Neurospora crassa OR74A: one gene and its partner. The protein of the gene in region 1 binds, or shares a complex with, the protein of each later gene. Links are inferred from orthologs where the notes say so. Each region holds a gene or a part of one and is shown on either strand. Other genes may lie near its edges.

Region 1 (7,950 bases):
CGAGCGCCTTCTTGGCTACACGCACAAAGTAGGCACGGTGGTGTCGGGCTGTGTCCTTGGGAAGGAAACCGGTGCCGGGAGGAGAGACGAAGGTGTCGCGCACGTTGGACAGGACAAGGGCTTCGCCGGTGATGGGGTCGTGCGCAATGATGCCGATGCCGAGCTTGTTGGCGGAGCCTTCGCATCCGAGAGCGATGCGGCGGCCTTTGGCGTCGGGCATTGTTGGCTGTTGGGGCTTTGTTGGATAGAGCGAGGGAGGGAGAGGGTTTCGGTTACTTGGTGAATCGGGAGCCGGTTGCTTCGTATCAGATAACTCGCAAGGATATTTCGTTGGGGATGTTTATCGAGGACCTTGATATCCTTTGGTTGTTGATAGGCGTCGCGTCGCGTACTGAATAGGATGGATGGATGGATGTTGTCAGTGCCACATCCAATGCCAGATGTCAGATGGAGAAAGTGATAATGGAGGGGCACCTTTTTAGAGTGGGGAAAATTTCGTCGCGTCTGTGAATACCTAGGCTAGGCGCGCCGTAGTGATCAAGGTGACGAAACTCGAGATCGAGATGAAAGAGGATGTACATACTTATTCCCCCAGCGGGCCGGTATCCCGTCTCCTAAAACCGGTCGACATGTTCACTACTTGTAACGATGCTTTAAAGCCATTCTCGCCCGTTGTTCTTCTCAAAACAAGGGAACGGCCTCGCCATGGGAATCAGCAATGGGATTTCGTCAGAGCCTTCCATGGAGTCGATGAGGGGTTCAATGAAATGTGGGTCCCCGCAGCCGCTTGTGCACAGTCGAGTGGGACCTTTATGTTGCTTTGGATGCGCAATGCAATGTTATGTAAGGCAGGCACGTAGCGTGGCTCGTGCGCTAGTAGTAGCAACGATTTCTATCCACATATAGCCGCAACGGCGCAAACTGTGACCATGGATGCATGAGTTGTGTAAAAGACACTAGAAGTTTGATTATTTCTAGCTTTTTCGCCATGAGCTGATCCAACAGTTCCATTGCAACAAATATGTGCAGATGAGCTTACGTGATTTGACTTGCTCTGTGGAAGTGCAAAAAGGCTCCGAGCAGTTCGGGGTCTGCCGAGCCTGGGCTTGGGGCTCTCTGCACGGGACCCCACTGCACCGAGAATCAATTCTCCCAGCCAAGCGAGAGTCCGCAGCCGTCCAACCATCTTCCATCCTCCGAGCCTGTATCACCCAACACCTCACCTCGTTGCCGCCAAACCCAAACCTCCCAACCGCACGGCCAGACCTGCCTCTTTCAACAGCCCAGCCGACTTCTTCCTTGTCTTCACCATCCTTTGCCTGCCATTTCTTCGGCAGAACATGGCCGGGCTGCTTCTTGTTCGGTTCTTGCAAGCTTTCGAGCTCACGGGGCCGTCTGGGCCGGATTGGAGGCCGTGAATTCAGCACCGCCCCAAGTCTATGGGGATGGAGATACCCATATTCCCTCTTGAGGTGTGTTTTCCTCGTTCGTCTGACTTCAGAATGCTGCTTTGGCCATCTTTTTGTCTCGCACAACCCGTCTGATGTGGGCTTGATATGTCCGGTACCGTTGTGGGTGAACCTAGGCTGACCAGAACTCTGCACCACAGGACCACCCACCACCCATGGAAAGCTGTTCACTCGACACCTCCATTCTGTCTTCCACCTTCTTTGGACATCGCTTCTTCTTCCGCCTTTCCAAGTCTTTGGGAAATGCTGTTGTGGGCTGCTGGCTTCATGGTTCAAAATCACGAACCTCGCCACCAAGTCAGCAAAGCTGGCCTCCAGTCAGCCAGCCAGCCAACCATTGCTGCTCGGTGATCCCACTCTAGAGCGCCCTCGAACTCTCCTGCTCGAGTTTTCACCAACGTCAAAATCGCGGATTACCAGATCGGAATGTCCCTTTTTGCAAGGCATCTTCGGTTCCGGAAAACCGGCGATCAGCAGTTCTGCCAGAAGCCAGGGTCCTGCACCAAAAGGAGCAGCGGTCTCGACTCCGAAGCCTGGCAACGGAAGACTCGACGTCCAAGCCAGCATCGATATCGTAACGACCGGTCAATTTCTCTCTGCTCGAGTTTTCTCTTTCTCAGCTTTTTTTCCACCTACGTACCTAGCGAGACCTCTTTCTTTGAGGCGTCCCCACTCTTTTATCACCAAGCACGCTGCACGGTCGCTCCGAAAGCCAAAGGGGCGACCCCCGTCTCTACGCTAAGCAGCGACCCGGTCTACCAGGGGCGCGAGGGAACACCTTTTTCTCTTTCTCGACACTTTTGTCGTCCTCCCAACTTCCTGTCTTCTTGTGAAGCGTCCTGTGTCGGACCGCAGCTCGATTGCTGGTTTCCTATTGGCCCACCCGGTTCGCAAATTCTCGCACACCTCCGACCAATTCGCACATCGGCCCAGGGCAGCACCGTGTGTTACCTAAGCCCAAATGTGGCACATGCATACGCTCGCAGCACTTGTCTCGGGGCTGCCGATGACCAAACGCTCGGAACATCTCTGAGATCATTCCTGCTTTCCCCTGGGCAACAACCTCGCGGACGCACCCGGTCTATAAGGCTTCGTTCGCCCTCCAGGCTTTCCAGAAGCGAAGATGCCTTGACAGACATCGAGACCAGCCTCCACGCTTGATGGCCATAGCCACTTTCGTGGTTCAGTCACACTGCACAATACAACACCGCGTGAAGCAACTGATGGGAGCCAGAAGTGGTATTTTACTGCTTTGGTATCTCATTACTGTTGTCGCTGCACAGCTTCTCGCGTGTCTCAGCTATCCGCCGCCATCTACACGATATCGGTACGACTACTTGTTTACATATATACATGAGCCGTTCCCCACTTCGCCAAACCTACGCAAAAGCCGCAACCCAAACGCCTCGCCCCGGCCAGATCCTTCTCTTTAGCCCTGGCCCCATATCGCTAAATGCATCAATCGAGAGTTGAGGGGTATACACAGCAGCGGTCTTCCGAAGTTTATTCGGCTGCTCGACCACCAGCCCGCGAAAAAAGCCAAACGATATCTAAAAAAGATGACAACACAACACTCCTACAAACGCCAATTTTATGACACCGGTTGAGCCTGGGGCTGCGGTTGCGGCTGTGGCTGTGCTACTGGTTGTTGTGGTTGAGGTAGAGGGAGAGATTGTGATTGATTTGGTTGAGGTTGTGATTGCGGTTGTGGTTGTCCCGGAGCAAAAGAAGATTGGGCAAGTTGTTGTGGGACGGCGCCCGGAGGGATGAACTGCCGGTTGATAACCGGTGGGGGAGGTCTTGTGACCGTCTGGAGTGGTATTGAAGCACGGTACCTCAATGCCTTTGTATCAAAGGGGTCCAGCATATACACCGGCGCGTCGTCCTCGTCATCAGAGGACTGATCATACTTCCAGCGATCGGACTGTTCTTCACTGAGGTCTCGGGCTGGACTAGGTAAACCACGACGGTCGATCCACAACCTGTTCAACCGGCCGATACGACGACGATATGAGGGTGGATGCGCCAATGATTGTTCGTCCTGGGCAACGCCCCTGAATTTTACTGGTGGTGGTGGGTTGGGTTTGGGCTTATCAAGATCCATCGGGGTGGGCTCATCCATGGATCCTGAGGATGCAGACGCTGGTGGCGTCATGAGATACTGCGTCTTGGCAGGTCTGAAGCCCAAATCTTGTCTTGGGCCCTGAACGGGAGACAGCGGCTTGCCAGTGAGGTCGACATAGTTCTTGTTCCAGTCGATGTGGTTCTGAATCTTCTTCTCGATCTCGATGATGAGCTCCGCATTCTTCTCGGCAAGGCGATCTGAGAGTTGGACAAGATCTGACTCTGCGGGACGGCCATCGGGGCGCACAGGCATACGGATCTGGGGGGGTGGAGGGGGTCTTTGAGCTGAGGGTGCCTCCGGAGCCTTCCTCTTTTGCGGCTGTTGTGAAGCGTTAGCGTTGGCTGATGTAAGTCTTGCACGTCTTGCCGTTTGACTAACCTTTTGGTTTACTAGATCCTCGTCGCCCGTCCTGATGCCGAGTCGGAGTTTTTGCTCCTTGATGATGGCTCGTTGATCGAAGATGGCTCGCTCTACCTTGAGCATATCTGCCTTGAGCAATTCCCGGTTGTGGGCTGCCAGGATGAGTTGACGACCTTCCTCCAGCTCCTTCCGCAGCCGCTTGAGTTTGTCCGCACTCTGGACATCTCTTGCCCTCGTTTTGCGAGTTTGACGAATCTCTCTTCGGCGAAAGCAGACGTAGGGATCAAGCTCGTCGCTTTCCGCATGTGTCTCGAATTTCAGTGTAGGGTTGAGCGGTCGGTTTTTGCTGATTTCGCGGCGCGACTTCCAGTACTCATATATCTGCTTGGCATGAACCATGACTTTTGTGCTGTCTAATGGCTCCAGTCCTCGCAACATCTCCTGATACGACGGCACTGTCTGGTCTATGGCCGAGAACGGCGTTATGTTCGCCGCCATGTCCTCATACACGTCCATGATCCTCTCGAAATCATCTTCGGAGAGACGAGCAGACGGGGTCAGTTTCATGTTGTAGGACTTGAGGAACGTCTCATCGTCCTCGGTCATGTCATACAAGCAACTGATGCATTCTTCTACCGTTTGGGAAAAACGGATATACGTGGATGTCTTGGCCACCTTTTGAGGGTAGAACTGGTCGTAATCCAGTTCACTCTGCTGTGGAGGGGGGACAGGAATCTCCTGGTCGGCGGCGACTCCTGCCCCCTTGAGCACAGCTTGAAGATGGTATTCCTAGTTACAGAAGGGGTAAGGTCAGCACCGGTGACATGCATGGCTGTGTGCATGGAAGGTAGGTAAGGTGAGTTGGTGATGGAGGCGTGATGGAGGCGCGGCAGACGGGTGGCACGTGCACGTGCACGTGACCCCGGTCGCGATCAATCGGACATAGGTGTTGAACTCACATTTTCCTCGGCCTGTTCGACACCGGTGGCTATTTGGTTTTCGGAAGTGAGTGATTCATACTCAGAGGCTTCAATTTGATCCTCCCTGAGCACCGCAAGTTGTGTTTTGACACTCAGTTTCTTGTACCGAACCTTGCGGGTCGCCATGGTGAAGGTGTGGGCAATTGCGGCAGAAAGGCCTGGGGAAACCCCGACGAAATTTTTTTTTATCTCATGCGGGATTGCATGCGAAATCGAACCGTCGAGTTTTTTGATGGAAAACTCGCGTCGTGGGTGATATTTTGATGGGCAAAATCTGGTCCCTTGATGGAGTGTCGTTGAGGTTTCGGCGCAGATTTTGCTGTTTTGGCGGCGGATTCGACGGCCAATGCACGGTCTTGGCGATTGGCTGGGCTTCTGCTCTTGCGAAGCCTGAATGGCGGGGGGAGGGGTTGAATGGGGTGGTTTTGGGCGAAGTTTTGCTGGTCGCGCTGGCTTTGCTGGCTTTTCAGGGAGGGAACGTAAGCGTGGTGCCCACTGCCCGGGCCGTCCATGGTCTGCGCGTCCACTCGCAACGAACCAGTCAACCACCACTGCCAGTGGCCACTGCACTGTTTGAAAGTTGGAAGCGCGGGCGCGCCTCCAAGGAACCCGATCCGACGACTCCAACCTCGACTGCCCGCCTGAGAAGCCAAGCTGCCAACTGGAGCCCAAGGCAGTGCCAGCCCGCTCCGATAAGAGCAATATCGTCATGTAAGGTAAGGATTGGCGTGCAATCTTACAGAGATACACCGCGGCCTCATTGATTCTACTCTTTTGTTACCTGTTTTTGCTTGTTTTCAATCTTACTATCAGAACCCTTTGGCTCTTGGTGGAATGACGATGCAAGCAAGCATTTGCTGGTCGTCATAGACTCCTTGAACTGAGGGCATTCGGTGCGCAACCTGACAACACCCAAGTTGGATCCAAATAAAAGACTGATATCCTGCACCACTTCCTCTCCATGTCGTTGATATCGCATTCAATATTCAACGACAACTTGTGACTGTCTGGAGATTTGGGCATTTGACTGTTACCAGTGCACCGCAGCCAAATAAAGATGGAGTCCGAGGTGCAAATCATATGCGCAGCAGCACACATGCGATGCATTCCTTTAAGAATTCCTAAAACGGTCAATGGTTGGTTTGGTTTCAACGAGGAGGCACGCGAACAGTTCCAACAGACATCAACCCTGACCGTCGAAAGGGGCAGCGTGTTGAAATGAATCAATCAATGGGCTGATACGAGATGAGGAGGAGAAGTGGCCCGTGCATCCCACTTCTTACCCCACCATCCACGGCATAGATCCTCGTGCCTGCCCCCGCTGTCCGCCTGCCCAGCCGAGCCAAAGGCCGCGGCCCGCCTCTCCCTCTTTTGCCTCCGTTCCAGTCTGTGACCGCCAAACCGAAGAGGGGACCTGCCGACTGCGGGACGACAGTAGCCGCGGCGGGCTGCTGCTCTGCTGGTGTCAGCCCAGGAGTGCTCGTGAATGGGAGGCCCCCGCTGTTCGGTGAGGCAATCGAGCGCCGCACTGCAGCTATGGACTAGTAGTGACAGCCCGAGCTACCTGGACCTTGACCACTTGTCAACCACCACTGGTGGCATCCCATCTCAGCCTTATTCCTGCCTTGTCCAGACCCTTATCGACCCGGAGTCGACCCCTAATTCCTCCAACCTGTGAATACCTCCTGCCTCGCACTTTTTTCTTTGCTGCTCAAGTGTTAACCCACCACCCAGCGCCCGAACTTCTTGCCAAAGTGACGACGACTACCGACACGACCCATTCGTATCCGATCGCTTCAGCGTCGCATCACGTCGCATCTTTCGGCACAGGCACATTGCTATCATCACGAGCACGACAACCAGCGGTGGAAAGGAAACAGAACAAACCGAGAACTTGTCGACGATTCAGCACGGCGATTTGTACACCACCGTGCACTTTGATACCCAGTAATACAGATATCCATCGGTCGAAAGAGTCCAGCAATACACAACACGAGCAGCAACCATGGGCAACACCACCAGCTCCGTCCTGGACAACATTGTCCAGGGATCCAACTGTACGTTTCGCTCGGCGACATGTTGAAGCCTACAACCCTCTACACTCTTCGTTATGTCCTGAACTTTGTCGCATCGACAGCGGTGCAAAATTGTTACTCTCTTCTACGACGAAGTCACAGAGATATGGAGATGCACATTGCATGCTGCTTTACATCAACAAGCGCTATGCGCCTTTCTTGCAAGTTCTTGTCAAGATCACTTTACTAACACACCCTTTTTAACAGTCGACAGGGAAGAGGTTGACCGCTTGCGTAAGAGGTTTATGAAGTTGGACAAGGCATGTTTTTGCACATCCATTCCCGTCCTGCGATCTTGTCCAGCTTAACTGTTGTCGCAAGCCAACAAAAGCATAAGTCGAGCGGTCAAGACGGTGGGCTTGTTGTCGGAATAACTGGCTAACCGGGCGGGATCTGGTTTAACAGGATAATTCCGGTACCATCGAGCGCGAAGAGTTCTTGAGCCTACCGCAAATATCGACAAATCCTCTGGCTACAAGGTTCGTTACATTCTACCCCTATACCTACCCTTGCTCATATCAGTATATCGCATGCTTCTGGCTTTCTCCGCGTGGAAATGCTGTCTGGGCACAATATGCGACATCATTTAGAGTGAAGACTGGCGACTAACGGTTTCCGACTTGGGTGTTATGCAGAATGATTGCCATCTTCGACGAAGACGGTGGTGGCGACGTCGACTTTCAAGAGTTCGTATCCGGCTTAAGCGCCTTCTCGAGCAAAGGCAACAAGGAGCAGAAGCTGCGGTTCGCTTTCAAGGTGTACGACATTGACCGTGACGGGTACATCAGCAACGGCGAGTTGTTTATCGTACTGAAGATGATGGTAGGCAGCAACCTTAAGGACCAACAGCTGCAACAGATTGTCGACAAGACGATCATGGAGGCGGATTTGGACAAGGACGGCAAGATCAGCTTTGAGGAGTTCACCAAGATGGTGGAGAA
Region 2 (7,787 bases), on another chromosome or scaffold:
CATGAAGATTCGCGAAAAGAGTCCGGACCATGCTCCTCTGGTGTTATCGGTAGGTGCGACGCCAACGGCGACGACGATCCAGAGCCCTTGGTTTACGGGGGAGTGCGATGTGCCCACGGCAAACTCGCAGGGAAGCATGAGACCATTTGAGGAGGAGCTTAAAGAGTTGTGGGGCGGTTGGCAGAAGGAGGGATATGTGCTTGAAATTCATGCTGGTGTTTAGTGAGTTGGTCCTTTTCACCCTGGTGCTGGCTGACTTTTTTCTTCTATGTACATGTGGCCTCATTGTGCTAACACGGATCTTTCAGCCCGACCCTCGATCTCCAACAGGTCGCAACTCACGCACGACACATCGGTCTTCTTTCTGAAGAAGATATCGGCATCAGCGTAGTTGCCGAGGTCGCCTCCGGTATGTAAAACTCTCTCCATGGATCCCGTAACATTGCAGGAGAGCTAATTTCCCCTGTCAAAAACAACAGTCTACCCGACCCGCGGTCAAAACTCAAAGCCTGAAGCCCTCATCAATGCCGGCTCTCTGGCCCTTGGCCGCGAGCCCGTGGGCCTAGACAAGATAACGAGCAACAACGAGGAGACTGCCAAGCCGTACACTGGCTGGGGCGCCCTGATGCCCTGGGGCGTTCTAGCAGGAACGGAAAAAAAGGACAGGAGCGGCAAGATTCTCGGCGAGAGGTTTCCTAATGACTTTAGGGGCTGGCAGGTCGGCAAGATCAGCCAGGAGCACGGTATTTTGACTTGGGTAGGGGATGAAGGGAAGAAGGCGCCCGAACTTAAGGTGGGTGATAGGGTAAGGGTGTGGCCCAACCATGCTTGCATCATGGGGGCGGGGTTCGAGTACTATCTGATTGTTGACTCGAATTGCCGGGGGCAGGAGGATAAGGTTCGCGATGTTTGGTGTAGATGGAATGGGTGGTAATTATTTACGAACGGGGTAAAGATCAAAGGGCTTCCGAAGCGAGGATAGAGAGGTCAAAATCACCCAACTTCAACAAATTAATTTCTGATTTTGATCCATGCATACAAAGATGAAATATCACTTTCCTAGGATTGTTACGTTACTGTGCACTAAGGCGAGTTTGTGTCTCCTGAAAGTCACTGGAATATAGCTGTTGCATGTAAACAAAAATGGGGTTGGCGTGGCAACCGCTATGGGCCGTCGTTTCCCCCTCCAGCTTTGGTGTATCCGCGCTGTTGTCCAGGGCACCTACAGTTAGCTTCTGCTGTGAACGAACTGTTCCATCAGGGGCAACTTCCGAGCACCGGCGCGTTCACCATACTTCCTTGCAACCTACCTACAACCACCACACCTGAACTCCAAGGTGATGACCACATCCAACACCATACATCACATCTCCAGTTATCGTTGCGCCAGGTCTTGAACAATTCACAGAGCCTCCGCTCTGAATCATAACCCAGCAAACGAATGTCACGAGAATGCCCATAATATCGGAGGAAGAAGAGGAGGATGGCACGATGCTGTCCCACCCTTCAGAAGAAGACAACCACGATGATGGCTCGATATCCGGAGACGAGGATTCTTACGACGAGGATGACATCTCGGACGACGACGGCGACGACGAGCACCTCGCGCCCCCACCGCCCGTCTCGCAACATACCTTCGCCCCTCCCTTCTACGGTCGCCCACCGACCCCTCTCCCACCCTCCCCCTCTTTAACCTCCCTGCTGCGCCCCTCGCGTCCCACTACCCCGGACGCCTCCGACGACGAGACAGTAGCCAACGGCGGCGGTGGGGGTCCAGAGGGCAGCAACGAGCCCCTCCCGCGCGCCAGCCCCCGCGTACCCACGTACGAGTACTACGGCTTCGTCCTCTACCTCTTCAGCAGCCTGTCGTTTTTGATCTACCTACTGTGGGCCTACCTGCCTTCACCGTTCCTGCATGCGTTGGGCATCTACTACTACCCCAACCGGTGGTGGTCGCTGGCCATTCCGAGTTTCCTGACAATGACGCTGGTGTACATCTACGTGGCGCTGGCGGCTTACAATACCGAGTACCTCACACTGCCGTTGGGATCGATTGAGACGATTGTGGATGAGGCGGCGCAGGTGGCGGTGGTGGATGGGAAGGGCCAAATCATTAGGCATGATAAGAAATGTGGCATCAAGGAGGAGAAGAGACAGTATGGGCATGGCTATGGACATGGGAGGCATGGGTCGACGGATAGGGAGGTGCTCTTACCTGGGGGAGGATTGAATTGGAGGGAGGTCTGGAATGAAGGGACGGATGCGGTGATGGATGTGCCACTGGCGGGAGTTTGTGAGGTTTTGTATGGAGAGGGGAGGGAGAAAGGGGTGGAGAGTGAGGAGGATGAGGAGGACTATGAAGGAAAGGGGATGTTGCATAGTCCTGGGAATGGACTGGATGGCTCGAGAGTTGGTCGATGGAGTTAACACAGGTTATGAAGGTCCTGAGACAGGATAGACACCTGATCTCTGCTGTATTGTTGTTTTGTCCATTGTGAAATATGATACCCATTTGTTCTTTTTGGGGGTGGCATAATGCTCTGGGTGAATCCGTTGTCGGTATCGTATACAGCTGAGAGTTCTACTTCCCATGGATGTCGTAACTTTGACTTCTAGGACTTCTAGCGAGTTCGTGGGCTCTGGATCAGCAACGACAGGCCAGCGACAATCTTTGAGGAGTTTAACCAAAGCTAACTGCTCATGTGCGTCTTACTTCTCTTCAAGCTTAAAAGACCTATCAACAAGTTAACAGAGCTCTTGACAGGTTCGTTGGATTGCTATTTCCATTTTCTGTCCCTGATGCCCTATTACCGTAGAGGTACGTACCGCGCCCCACTTTTATGTAGCTGGAGGAGAGCCTGTCCGGCCTTTTACTGGTATTCACGCGCGCGCGCCCCTCGTCTTTGAAGCTCCGTTGTCAAATTCCATTTGATTTCCAGTTCATCGAACTTCAACGGAACGCGACGGGACCGAGCTATTAGACGCGCAGCGCTGTTTGGAGATCCCCGCTCACACCACTTCTTGCCCTCCGATAATACACCTCAGCGATTTTCCATTATACAGCGTCGGTGCCTAACATGTCCCACCAACAACCTCTCTCGTCGTCGGTCCAGCCGACTGACATCTATGGCGGAGGTAAGCCTAGTCCAAACGCCTCTGACCAGCGACATTGCCCAAGCTTCAAGGCTTGCAATTGACGGCTGATTATTTCCTTAGATGAGGTATCCGCGCTTGTTCTCGATCCGGGCTACTGCAACACTCGCGCCGGCTATGCTGGCGAGGAAATGCCCAAGCAAGTTCTCCCTTCTTTTTACGGCCACATCAATGGGCGTGACGTATTCGGCGACGAGTATATCGTGCCAAAACCGGGCTTCGAAGTGCGCAACTACATGAACCGCGACAGCGTTGTCGAAGATTGGGATGCTGCCACCAGGATGTGGGAACATGTTCTCGTCAAGCGTTTGCAGCCCGAGCGATCAACACCTCCCAGCAAAAAGGGTATCAACATTAGTGACGATGGCGATGTGCCCATGGAAGACGATGGAAACAACAACGAGGATGCTACGGACGCGCTGGAGAAGCCACTGGCCGAGAACCCTCTTCTTATGACCGAAGCGCCGTGGAACTCGCCCAAGGCGCGCGAGAAGGCCATCGAAATCAGCATGGAGACTTGGGGCGTGCCCGCATTCTGGCTTAGCAAGACACCTGTGCTCGCAGCATTTGCGGCCGGAAAGGCCACGGCTCTGGTAATAGACGTGGGCGGTGCCAACACGAGTGTCACGGCCATCCACGACGGCATGGTCCTCAAGCGATCGATTCAAAGGTCTCCGGTGGGCGGTGTTTGGCTGAGCAGCCAGATCTGCAAGATGTGGGACGGTAGTGAGCCCAAGGTCGACGTTGTGCCGCGGTTCATGGTCGAGAGTAAGAAGCCCGTGGAGGCCGGTGCGCCTGCCGAAGCCAACCTGCGAAAGTTTAACTTCGACATCCACCCGTCCTTCCGCGCTTACGAGGAAGAGCGTGTTCTCACCGAGTTCAAGGAGTCTGTTGTCGAGGTGTGGCGTGGTCCCCAGCGGTTCACGACCCCCGGAAACGAAGATGCTGTCCGTACACAACCCGGCCGGGTCTTCGAGATGCCCGACGGCAGCAATCAGATGTGGCGTGAGCAGCGCTTCAAGGTGTCGGAGGGCATGTGGGACGAGACGGCTGCCTATAACAGCACTGACGAGGAAGGACGTGTTACTAAGGCTCAGACGATCCCGGCTCTCATCAAGGCGGCCCTCGAGGGTGTTGATGTTGATCTCCGCCCCAACATCCTCGGCAACGTTGTTGTCACGGGTAGTACAAGCTTGTTGAACGGTTTCAACGACCGTCTCAACCACGAGCTCGCGCAAATGTACCCCGGTGTGAAGATCAAGATCCATGCGGCGGGTTTGACGACCGAGAGACGCTTCGGTGCTTGGATCGGAGGAAGCATTCTCGCCAGTCTCGGAACCTTCCACCAAATGTGGATTTCGCGAAAGGAATATGATGAGAACGGCGCGGGCATTGTCGAGAAGCGCTGCAAGTAGGATTTCACTTTGTCAATTGCAGAAAAAGAAAGTTGTCGAGGCATGAAGTGGAAAACCCTCCCACGCCGCGCTATGGAAATGGCGGGAGGCTACAAAACATCGGATTCCAAGTCAGGCCACAATGGTTGATGCCTAAAGTGCTCACACATTCATGGAGTTTGTGTGGGGTGGAGTGTGGTGGTCATATAAGATGGGCATGATATTTTCTACGTCGCTAATTATCAGGCAGGTGTATGTTATGGTCGCACGATATGGCGCGGAGGCGTTCCGGAGAAATGGATTTTCAATGCTTTCAGCTTATGAAAGATACACGCCAACCATTGCCTGTATTGCCAGTTTTGACTTTAATCACGGCTAGATCCCAGAGCTTCAACTGTCTCCAAGTAGTTCATTCACCGTAAAGCTTCTACGTACAAAGTGTAATTTCTTCTAGACAATCCATAATCCTCTCATCAGTCCTACCTGTCAATGGGGCAGCTATACTCTCTCTTCGTTCCAAAACTAGCTCCTTTGGAAACCGCGCCCCCATGTTTCATCTCAAGAGCGTCCAGGCATGCTTGATGGTAGATGTGTCTGCAGGCCAGCACAACCAGAGGGCTAAGCTTCTGTTCCCGGTTTGCCACTATTGGCCCTTGCACGCCTTCATGTCCAGAAGTGTTTGCTTGCTGGTTCGGGTCGTTCATTGACTCCCCTTGCTGCTTCAATTGCGGGCTCACAGCCTTTCCCTTGCCCTTCCCCTTTCCATCTCCATTTGCATTTCCATTATACTTCTCCCCACCCTGGGGCCCGTCCGTTGCCGGCCACGCATGATCCTTGCCCTTCCCCCGTTCAGTAGTAGCACTCGCCGCCTTGTTTTTGCTCATGGTGAGTTGCTTCCTCGCCTGGCGTTGACTCTCCTCAGCAGCCTGGCGATCTTCCCACGCTTCGTAGACATTACCCGCCACACCAGGACCCCAAACTCGCCGGCCGCAGGCCTCGCAGGTGGAGCCTTTAGGACGCCAACCTCGCTGGCGGAGTTGGACGGCTTGGCTTACACTCACAAAAAGACTGCGTTCCAAAAGCCGGTTTGAGAGGCTAAGGATGGATTCTTCGTATGCGTATGCGGCGAAGATACTGGAGAGAACTGAACGGAGATCTGCAAGGTTAGGCGACGACGCCGCGGCGCGAGTGAGGAACGCACGAAGAATACGGAGGAAGGATAGATTGGCGTTTATTGCTGGAGGTTGTATATCACCCGTGTCTGCTGCAGATCGAGAGGTACGGGTTGATGTGGATGAGAGGAGGGCTGTAAAGGTGTCTTGCACGAGCGATCGTGCCAAGGTGACAAGCTTTTCTGTCTCTAATGACATATGGAATGGTTCACTGTTGGGGTTAGAATCGCCGTTCATAAGCTGTGCTTGTGCTGAATCATCTGGGGGTGGTAGCTGCAAGGCTGAAGTAGCCCGCTTGGTGATCTGTACACAGCTCTCAACCAAGCTGAGCCAGAGTTGCTCGTCGGGCGAAAGCTCGTCTTCAGAATTTGATTTGTGTCGTTGACGTGTATTACCACTCTCTCGAGCGGCTTTGGTTTGTTCCTGACACAGCCAAACGCCCACACGAGTGTAGTTTTGCAAAGCTTGCATAAGTTCCTCCGTACTTTCTTGGGAATTGAGATCTCCTTGCGACTGAGAGGCGGTTCCGGTCAATAGACCGTATAAGGCTGATTCAAGAGTTTCCAAGTGTCTCGTCAGTCGCGCCATGGCCTCCTTCACTTGCCCTTCTTTCGCCATCAGTATGACGGCAGCGTCGATTACACCCGTCTCTTCCATCGTAGGCAGTAGCTTCTCTAACCTCAAGTTCGTAGCTTGGACTTTGTTTACGTATTCCGGTACATGTGATGGTTCAAACTGGCACATGAGCTGCAGATACTGCTCCACAAGATCTTGTTGAGGCGGACGGACGTTCATCACCTCCTTACTTGGCTCCAGTATCATCTTCAGATAAGTATACCGAAGGTGCGGCTGCTCAGAAACGGAATCCAGGACGTGACTGTGCAACTCTGGAGCGTAGGTCCCTATTGCTTGCGCCGCTCTAACAGAGTCAATCTGGACTAGTTTACCGGCGTGATCCTTGATGACCTGATGTACGTCCTGTATCTGGCGACGGGTAAGACCTGAGTGCGGTCGGAGACAGAGTTCGATGCAGTCAAAGATAGCTTCCCGCTCATTCGGATCTTCGAAGTAGGTCAGAGTCAATTTCCCATACTGTTTGTCTGCTTTGTATATACGCTTCAGTATCCGATAAAATCCAGCCTCCTTGAACCGCGGTATCAAGTCGGGTAGATCTGGCGGATGATAAACTGAAAGTAGATATTCGGCGCTTAGTTGGGCATCCTCGGCAAGGTCATCCCCTGGATATCGACACAGCTCGACCAGGACCTTGGTAAGTGTCGATCCCGTGAAAAGAAGGTATTGCGGGTACTTGGGAAGGTTTCTGGCAATAAACATATCGAGATAGATAGTGTCTTCCTTGGCAAAGTCTGCCGAGCTCATTATCTCCATTAAGATGGAGGTAATGTACTGTCTGTCTACCGTCAGACCAAATATTTCTTCCTCTGAAAGATCACGACTTGGGCCACCAGCAAGCTGCTTTTCAGGTGAATCGTTCAAGAAGGAGTCTTCAAAGGCCTCGTTGAGCACGCTCAGGAAGCTGGGTGCGTCAAAGTTGAGAATCATCCTCAAGTAGGGGAAGGATGGCTCTTGAGACTGTTCTGGTTGCGTAAGCAGCCTCTTGCTACTGCCCTTAGGCCAGCAGATACTTTTGCCCGAAAAGAGAAACCAGTAAATCTCCGCTTTAGCCTTTTGAGCTACAACATCAGGAATTGTGTCCCCAGTAGGATAGGTCTTCCCGGTCAGGATAAACGACAGATATGGGAAGATCTTCAGTGCATTCGTTTCTCTAGTTTCGTTCTCCAACACGCTTGTTGTACCATCTGCATGCCCGTTCTGCATCAAAGGTACCAATAAGGCCAGCAAGTCAATGAATGGGGTGAGATAGTCGTTTAAGGCTTGGTTCCACACGTAAATTAATGCATCATAGAGGCCATGCTTTTTGCAAAGCGTCGTGACTTGATCGAGATCTAGGGTTGAGGTGTCCATGTGGCAGATGATGTCTTCGAGCCTGGTTTCGAGCCCGTTGCTGACGAAGTGAGCGACCAAAGCTTTCACAACTGCGGGCGGG

The links. Proteins that work in one complex are often made in the same cells at the same time.
Region 2: NCU03834 (region 1) and arp-4 share a complex: the UniProt entries of both Schizosaccharomyces pombe proteins name them as parts of the nuA4 histone acetyltransferase complex. The link is inferred for Neurospora crassa OR74A from reciprocal best matches to the Schizosaccharomyces pombe genes epl1 and alp5.

The regions. Positions count from the first base shown.
Region 1 is NC_026505.1:2,561,821-2,569,770, reverse strand, and holds NCU03834 (histone acetyltransferase complex component Epl1), read right to left. Parts: upstream 5,363-7,950; 5' UTR 5,061-5,362; coding exon 4,914-5,060; intron 4,744-4,913; coding exon 3,973-4,743; intron 3,913-3,972; coding exon 3,061-3,912; 3' UTR 2,237-3,060; downstream 1-2,236. Other genes in the region: NCU03836 (O-sialoglycoprotein endopeptidase, variant), read right to left, coding at 1-220; NCU03835 (hypothetical protein), read right to left, coding at 893-956, 1,040-1,131, 1,224-1,540, 1,756-1,807; cnb-1 (calcineurin subunit B, variant), read left to right, coding at 6,940-6,991, 7,217-7,269, 7,415-7,488, 7,645-7,950. UniProt on the Schizosaccharomyces pombe protein: Component of the NuA4 histone acetyltransferase complex which is involved in transcriptional activation of selected genes principally by acetylation of nucleosomal histone H4 and H2A. The NuA4 complex is also involved in DNA repair.
Region 2 is NC_026501.1:2,711,453-2,719,239, reverse strand, and holds arp-4 (actin), read left to right. Parts: upstream 1-2,908; 5' UTR 2,909-3,077; coding exon 3,078-3,135; intron 3,136-3,216; coding exon 3,217-4,568; 3' UTR 4,569-5,026; downstream 5,027-7,787. Other genes in the region: NCU16368 (hypothetical protein), read left to right, coding at 1-222, 309-409, 480-934; NCU16367 (hypothetical protein), read left to right, coding at 1,453-2,427; NCU02554 (golgi complex component), read right to left, coding at 5,027-7,787. UniProt on the Schizosaccharomyces pombe protein: Chromatin interaction component of the NuA4 histone acetyltransferase complex which is involved in transcriptional activation of selected genes principally by acetylation of nucleosomal histone H4 and H2A. The NuA4 complex is also involved in DNA repair.